Kluyveromyces lactis: one gene and its partners. The protein of the gene in region 3 interacts with the protein of the main gene of each other region in a biochemical or structural test. Links are inferred from orthologs where the notes say so. Each region holds a gene or a part of one and is shown on either strand. Other genes may lie near its edges.

Evidence for each region.
Region 1: the proteins of SPT15 (region 3) and NCB2 form a complex in vitro, tested with the Saccharomyces cerevisiae proteins (2 studies listed by BioGRID). The link is inferred for Kluyveromyces lactis from reciprocal best matches to the Saccharomyces cerevisiae genes SPT15 and NCB2.
Region 2: the proteins of SPT15 (region 3) and BDP1 form a complex in vitro, tested with the Saccharomyces cerevisiae proteins (2 studies listed by BioGRID). The link is inferred for Kluyveromyces lactis from reciprocal best matches to the Saccharomyces cerevisiae genes SPT15 and BDP1.

Annotation. Positions count from the first base shown.
Region 1 is NC_006039.1:578,154-580,047, forward strand, and holds NCB2 (negative cofactor 2 transcription regulator complex subunit NCB2), read right to left. Parts: upstream 1,065-1,894; coding exon 603-1,064; downstream 1-602. Other genes in the region: SXM1 (Sxm1p), read left to right, coding at 1-301. UniProt on the Saccharomyces cerevisiae protein: Component of the NC2 complex which represses RNA polymerase II transcription through binding to SPT15/TBP and thereby inhibiting the assembly of the preinitiation complex.
Region 2 is NC_006041.1:759,837-763,461, forward strand, and holds BDP1 (transcription factor TFIIIB subunit BDP1), read left to right. Parts: upstream 1-1,405; coding exon 1,406-3,121; downstream 3,122-3,625. Other genes in the region: KLLA0_E08449g (uncharacterized protein), read left to right, coding at 1-1,150; phosphatidylinositol N-acetylglucosaminyltransferase GPI15, read left to right, coding at 3,348-3,625. UniProt on the Saccharomyces cerevisiae protein: General activator of RNA polymerase III transcription.
Region 3 is NC_006041.1:892,600-895,324, forward strand, and holds SPT15 (TATA-binding protein), read right to left. Parts: upstream 1,374-2,725; coding exon 672-1,373; downstream 1-671. Other genes in the region: PEA2 (Pea2p), read left to right, coding at 1-302; cohesin-loading factor complex subunit SCC4, read left to right, coding at 2,021-2,725. UniProt on the Saccharomyces cerevisiae protein: General transcription factor that functions at the core of the DNA-binding general transcription factor complex TFIID. Binding of TFIID to a promoter (with or without TATA element) is the initial step in preinitiation complex (PIC) formation.

The DNA of each region.
Region 1 (1,894 bases), on a different chromosome or scaffold from region 3:
ACTAGTGAAACTAGTACAGGAACTTCCAGATGCTATGAGTAGGCGTACAAAGATCGGAAATGGAGAATTTGATGCAGAAGATGATAATGATAATGAGGGCCTCGATTTCTATGATGAAATTGACGACGACTTCAATGATTCTCCGTTAGATGATATCGATCCATTCTCAAAATTGCATGAATTCTTCGTATCACTACAGCAGTATAATCCCGAAAGGTATCATATTGTGATGCAATCAATGGACAGCGACTCTCAAGATGCATTGAAAACAATACTTGAGTTTGTAACTTCAAGCTTATGAACGCGTGCCTTAACCAATAATGATAGAAAATGATCCGATAAAATCTACAAACGGCAGAGTATAATCGTTCCAAATTCAGAATTGGACAGGTATACATATTCTATAAACGCACTTCAGTCAATCACATGAGGTATTTCATACATACTCCCGTCCTTGAAATGCAGAACGAATTTTCAAACTCTTTCATATAACAATAAATCGTACTATTACACAAGTATTTCTATAAACTTTTCTAGAGCAAGTCTGTCAAGTATAGAGGAGTGAGTTTTGAAGATAATGCAACACTTTGTTTGTTATGTTTTCAGAATTCTTCGGCCTTTACGCCAACTTCTGGATCGTTGCTTGAGGCGTCCGATACTGATGTCTGTTGTAACCTTGACCTAGATTGTCTGAATAATTCTTCCTGTTGTCGTAGTAATTCCTCCTCAGACAAACCGGATTTCTTGAATTTAGCATCCCGCCTCTCTCTAATCTTCTGGTTTTCTTTGTGTTGATGTAAAATCTCTTCTAATGGTGGAATAAATTCATCAAACTCCAAATCTTGTAAGGATTTGATCACGTGATCAGGCGCTATCGTCTTTTTCAACTCTTTATCTGCGATCTCGCTAGCAGAACCCGCTAGCATCATGATGAACTCTACCCCACATTCGATGATTATTTCACGAGCCTCCTTACTGAATGTTAGATCGGAATCAAGTACTTCAGATATGATTTTTTGAACGGTAGCCTTCGGTAATGTAACGTCGTCAACCTCTCCAACCATGTTTTCAATTGCTTATGGTTGAAATTCTAACGGTCTTTATTTTCTAAGATAAAGCTTGTGATTATTATTTTTTGGTTTTGCAAGCTTCCCTGAAAAAACTATAATACTCTCGAACTTAATTCTGTGCTGCAAGTCAATATACCAAACAAGCACTTCACGTAGTAATCAATTAGATAATTGGATGAACTTGAGATGATAACAGATTGTAAACAAATTTAACAATGTCAACTTTTGTTTTTAAATGCCTGGTATTACACTTTTTTGTCCTCCTTGAACTCTAGATCTGAATTATGTATAATAATATATACTAAAAAAATACTCATCGCTATTTCATTCACTATGCAAAAAAATGATATGGCTCGCCAAATTGGCACATTTTTTGATGCTTTATATATAAAACTACGAATCAAACTAAGAAGAAAAGTTGAAAATAAAAAAAAAAAAATTAAAACAACAACACACATCGCACACATCGCATCACCTATGCAAACAAGGGACAATAAGGGAATTCTGATTGGAAAATATATATATATAGATGTATATTCAAATTAGCAACAGGACAGAGACATATAAGTGTTGACCTTGGTTGTTAGGCAGGAGCTCTTTCCTTACTTGACGTAAATTCTTTATGTTGTGTTAATCACCCAGCTTCCTCTCATCACAGTAGAAATGCTAACTAGTGTTTGTTAGGAGATATGAAGTGTATAACTTGAAAGCAGGAAGGCAATGTTTGGAGGTTGTAAAATAAGATTGCAAAAGCTGAGTTAACGAACTCAGCTCAGTGGATGTATCCTGAAGAAAAGCCTTAAATTGGGGACCACTGGCTATAT
Region 2 (3,625 bases), about 130 kb from region 3:
GGATTGGGGCAACTTGAAAACCATATCCAGTATTCAATGCCATACAACCTCCATCAACGATATGAAAGTTATAAACTCCGATTTTGATACTGGTGCTGTGTTCGCTACTGCAGCAGAGGACGGTGTTAAAGTTTGGGATATTAGAGCCCGAAACAATGTTGCGTCTCTTCAAAACGATAAAGCATCTCCCTTCTTCTCATTAGATTCAAGGCACAATATGTTAGCATGTGGCACAGAACTAAAGGATTACGATGCTGAATTGCATATTTATGATATAAGAAACTGGACTAAACCTGTGCGGTCATTTGTGGACTCGCATCATGATGACATTACAGATATAAAATTCCATCCATGCGACTCAAACTTGCTGATGAGTGGGTCTACTGATGGTTACGTCAACATCTATGATTTGACTCAAGACGATGAGGAGGATGCACTACATCAAGTTATCAACTTTGCTTCCATCCATTCTTGTGGATGGCTTGGCCCGAAAAGGATTTGGAGTTTGTCGCATATGGAAACTTTTGGTATTCACGAATTGAACGATAAATCAGATGAAATGATAGAGCCTAAACCACTAGAATTTGGAGACGTAAGAGATAAGTGGGGTTGTGACTATGTTATTGATATATACCCATCTTTCATTGCAACTGGAAAAACTCATGAAAGTCAAGGTGAACTCAAGATAATACCATTCCAAAATGAACAAGTTGATGTTTCTAGTGCCCTGGTAATACCTGATGCACACGGAAATGAAGTGATAAGAGATGTGCTTATTCCAAAAAATCAAACTTCCCTCCTATACTCTTGTGGTGAAGATGGTTACGTTAATGTATGGAAGGACACTACGAACTCTTTAAACGTTCCACACAACTTTTGGGATTATACACTACCATTCACAGCATTTGAAAACTCTGTCAGAGAAATTGAAATGGATATGGGACAAGAAACAATGCAGCACGAATCATCCTCAACATCTGAACAGGATTCTACTTCTACTGGTAGTGATGATGAACATAAAGAAAAGAAAGATAAGAAGGAGAAGAAGCACAGCAAGAAGAATAAACATGGGAAAAAAGATAGGAAGAGTGATAAAAAATCCAAGTCTAAATCCAAGAAGGAGAAAGAACACCGTTATAAACCTTATTAATATTGTGTATGCTATTATCTTCTTTTACATGAACAGTCTATTTAATGCCTTCGCATATTTAAAATATACACTTATTACCCGGATATATGTCACTGTGCCTTGTTTGATTGACGAAAATATGGAATTTTGTAATAAATATGATAGTAAACATTAATATGGCGACAGTGCTATATATTTTGATGAATGCACTATTCATTAGGTAGTAGCTAACATACAACAAAGAATCTTTGAAGCTACACTACCCAGCTGACAACCATGAGTAGTGTTGTGAATAAAAGCGCCAAGCGCTTTGTTCCTAAATTAAGAGAAAGACGGATACTGAACTCCACACCGGCTCCAACTGTGGTACCACCAGTGTCCGATGACATAACCAAGTCTACTGCTGAAGATTCCCATGAAAATGAAGCCGATAACGAGGACGGACTGAATGAGTCTAGTACAGATAATACGGAGCCAAAAAGAAGTGATGAAGAATCCAAAATTAACGAAACTGTTGACGAGGACGATCCACTAAGTCAAACAACTTTAGTCAAGAATTTGAACCCATCAAGAACCAGCACTCAGATACCGGTTGTCACAGTATCAAGTGCTACCAACCGCCGTAGGTCTAGTAGACTAGACTCGCTCTCTGGAACTAAACCTACTTTCAAGTCTGGTTTCATGGGGCCTGGTTCCTTGAATACGGGAAATGTACCAGAAAGAAGCAGAAGGCTCTCCAGTATATCCACAGGGTCACTGAGAAAGAAGAGTTTAACAGTTAATTCGGAGAATGATTCTTCACTGCAAGCAATTAAGCGGAGACGAATGTCATCAAGATCCTCAACCGGAAAAGGACCGGGTAAAGTTCAAAGGATTAGTATAGTATCACGGATGAGTAGTCCAGACGACGATTCATTAACTGCAAAACCAGCTGGTGACTCTGAAAACTGCGACGATATCTTCCAAAGAACTGATGATCTTTATCAGAAATACACCATTACCAATTTGAAGATGATTCCAAAGAAAATAGCGGACAAAGATTCATCCAAATACTTGATAGACGAAGAAAACTTTACTATGGCGGACCTATGTAAACCAACGCTTCCCATAGGTGAAATATCTGAGAATTTTAGCAGGGCTAAGGAAGCTGCCAAGCTAAAGATTGAAAGGAGAAGAAAACGCAGGGAACTACGAGAAATGGCTAGAAAAGAGTTCAAGTCCTTGAATGAACTAGTAACGGAAGAAGAAAAACAATTGAAAGAGGAAAGAAAGAAAGCCGCCCAGGATCTTTTTGATACGGAAGTGCCAGATGAGAAACCCCATCAAGGTATTCAATTGAAGATGGCCGCAGATGGATCTATGGTTGTTGATGAGGAATCTATGGTTGTCGACAGACATAAGAACGCGTCTCTTGAAAATTCATCTAAAGAAAAAATTCAGAACAATCCATTCGAAAATTTATACAATTCTGCTACGTACGGTCGTCAGCAGTTTACAGATCCATGGACTATTGAAGAAATGATCAAGTTTTATCAGGCGTTATCAATGTGGGGGACAGATTTCAATCTAATATCTCAACTGTTTCCTTATAGGTCAAGGCGGCAAATCAAATCAAAATTTGTGAACGAAGAAAAAAAGCATCCTGTCATGATAGAACTTGCATTGAGATCTAAGCTTCCGCCAAACTTTGAACAGTATTGCAAAGAAACAAGAAAAAATATCGGCACGGTTACTGAGTTCAACAAGCGCTTAGATCAACTACAAGTGGAACATGAAGAGCATCTAAAGCAAATTGAAGTAGAACGTCAAAATGCTAGAGAGCAAGACATCAAGCAACAAACTGTTAAAGAGCATGAAAGATCACAAAAAGGTAAACATGGAGGTAGGTACGATCAACTCAAAGGATACAGAAAATCGGAAATCGTTCTTGGATCTATCGATGACCTCAAAAAGAAGAGAGCTGAGGAAGCAGCTATTGAAGCTCAAACTTAGTATAATATTAAGTATGTATCTCTAAAATATTTGATCTGTCTTAAGAAAGGACTCTTTCAACCTGAATTCATATTCATGGAGTTGTGCAGACTCTAACATGTTGTCATTTTCTTAAAATTCAAGACGAAAAACACGAAAGTTTATTCAAAAAACCCTTTGCATGATTAAAGGTAGTGATTAATTAAGAGAAGTAACCTCTGACTGGCTTTTACTTGGTACGACAAGTATGACTGTCACCACAATAGAGCATAATAATAATGTTGCTATTAAATTTGTCTCGACAAACAGATCAGTTAGCCGTATCATCTCAAGACAACAATCTATTATCTTTCTCTATGTTATATTATCAATTATCAGACTATCATACGCAGATACATGGCCGGCTCTAAAATATGTGAATCCAATTTGTCTCCTCCTTTTCATTAGAGTACCAATTATAGATTCAGTACAGTCTATTGCCAACCAGGGCATTCAAATATCATGTTCGGGAGGGCTTTTGTTGTT
Region 3 (2,725 bases):
TTTCTGAAGAGCTCTTACACTATCATAGTAAGTTGAAGGAGCGCGAGGAGAAATCGAAAGTCACTTCACAGATGCAATCAATTCCAATGGATATCGATAGATCCTTCTCACAAGCAATTTCCGAATCCAGTGACATCAAATCCTCAACATCTGCTTCTAACCATCAATCTTTCTCAATGATGAAGCAAGAATTTAAACGAATCTTAGCTGATACTCAGTTAAGATACGAAAAAGAACTAGAACAAGAACGCCTGTTGAGACAACAGTTGGAGAACAAGTTGGAAAATAAAGGATACCGCTAATCGTTTTATGTTGCCCTTAACGATCCAAAAATACTAGCATTAAACTTCAATATATTGTTGAAATGTAATTAACTTTGTAACATTATCTAAGACAGAATTCCTCATCCATTTCAAACTCAAGCTGGAAACCATTTACCGATGGCTATTAGTCGTTAAATTTGTGTATGAACTATATGATACATAGAGTAAGGTGCCAATAATAAAGACTTCTATTATAGCAGAATGGATATGAAAAGACAATAAGGAAGGAAAGATAGAAGGAACAAAGGGTTTTCTTGCAGAAGACGAGACAAAACCTCCGAGAATCGAATTAGTGCATTGTTTAATAAAATAAAAAAATGAATTTTTATAGTACCATCCAATAAAACATCATAGCTTCCTGAATTCACTCAACACAGGGTAGATAGCTTCAAACGCTTGATAGATTTCTTCTCTTTGTTTGGCACCAGTTAAGACAATCTTGCCGGAAACGAAAATTAGTAACACAATCTTAGGTTTCACCATTCTATAGATAAGACCAGGGAATAACTCTGGTTCGTATGAAGAGAAAGTACCGTGACTGAATGCTAAACCTTCTAAACGGATTGGGAACTTCACGTCACATGAGCCGACAATATTTTGGATCTTGAAATCAGTAAACTTGGCACTGAACCCAATCTTTTGAATAATTCTGGCATATTTTCTACTAGCCAACTTGGAATCATCCTCACTCTTAGCACCAGTAACAACCATCTTACCAGATGCGAAAATCAATGCAGTAGTCTTCGGTTCTCTGATACGCATAATCACAGCCGCAAAACGCTTTGGATTGTATTCTGCATTACGAGCGTGTAATGCTACCGTCTTTAGATCCAACCTACAGTCCAAATTCACAGTGGCCACAATATTCTGTAGGGTTGGTATGATTCCCGAAGTGGCAGAACCTTTATCTGCGTCTTCCGCATTAGCATCTGTTCCAGGTAAAGATTCATGTTCTTGTTTTTCTTGAGTTTCCCATACTGATCGTGTACTTGGATCAAATACTATCTTGTTTTCCTCTTGGAACTGTTTCATTCTATTTTCTTCTGACATCTTCTTCTAAGCTAAGCTGCGGTAGTAGAGTTTAACTTGATACGATATACTCGGAACAGTTGATAATAAACGAACGCTGAAAGATGGCTTCTTGAAGTATTTCACCAAACAATTGAAAGTCTTGAAAACCAAAGAAGAAAACTGTCTTCAAAAAAAATAGATCGTGTAGGAGTAGCAGATAGTATACAAGTATTGATATAACTTAAAGGGCTGCCTCAGAAATACACGACTTAAAACTGCAATCTTTGTGTGTTGACTGGTTTTTCCTACTTGTTCTACGATTTATATTTGGTTTCCTATGTTAAAAAGTTGTAAGCGGGAAAGAAATCTGATGAAGCTAGGTCACATGATCAATTTTCATTAGTATGATGATGAATCACCAGAGTAGACTTCTTTGACTTGTAAACAGTTCAATCATGTCATTTCCAAACCTGTTATTTGATGAAGTTATACCATGTCGATCTGAGTACATCGGTGGTTTACTTATTGTCTTCTTTTTGTCGTGGATCCTGGTTCCCTTATATATTTCAAAGTTTCATATAACCATTTTGCCCTAGAATAATACACGTCAATTAACGTGTCTCAAGAACAGCATATGCCCATGCTGAAAATAGCTTCCGATTGATGTATGATACACAATACTAGCTATGGACACCTTCAAAGATGAGCTGCTAAACGTTCCGATCTCTTTTGATCAAAAGTCCTTGAGCAGAAAAGCACAGCAGTTAGATTTGATATATCATCTCTCGAAACAGTACACTTTGACTGCACATGATGTTGTTACGGAAATTGAAACTGAATTGGAACTTCGTCAGTATTATACATTGATAAATCAGGCTATACGATGTCTGCGATATTTGAAGGATGGCGGTTTCCAGCTTTCATTAGAGCAAGATTTTCAGATCACTAACGATCTTGTTACGTTATTGATTGAAGAGACTCATCGCATTGATCTCGCAGAGCAATATTTTTCAGCACTCAGAGAGAGGTTGCAAAGTACAACATGGGTCAATGAGAAGATGTATGTGGATTACGTTCTTCTTTGTAAGATCCCGCTGTATAAAAATGATCCAAGTCATAATAAGATTGCACTACGAAATCTATCCAAGCTTATATCAAAGCTCGATACGTCTCTTTGGAAAGTGCTGTTTCAATATTTTAGATTGCAGTTGATTCCAGGCAATGAAAGGAAGTTGGCTGATTATAGAGATATTCTGTTCGTGATCAAAAACCATGAACAATTCCATTTCGTTGTGATGTGTTCGTTTATTAATTACTGTCTCGATGAAGGGATCAGCATACCAGCTGATATGTGGGTTTATTTTAGTGAAATGGACACAGCTCATGTCAAA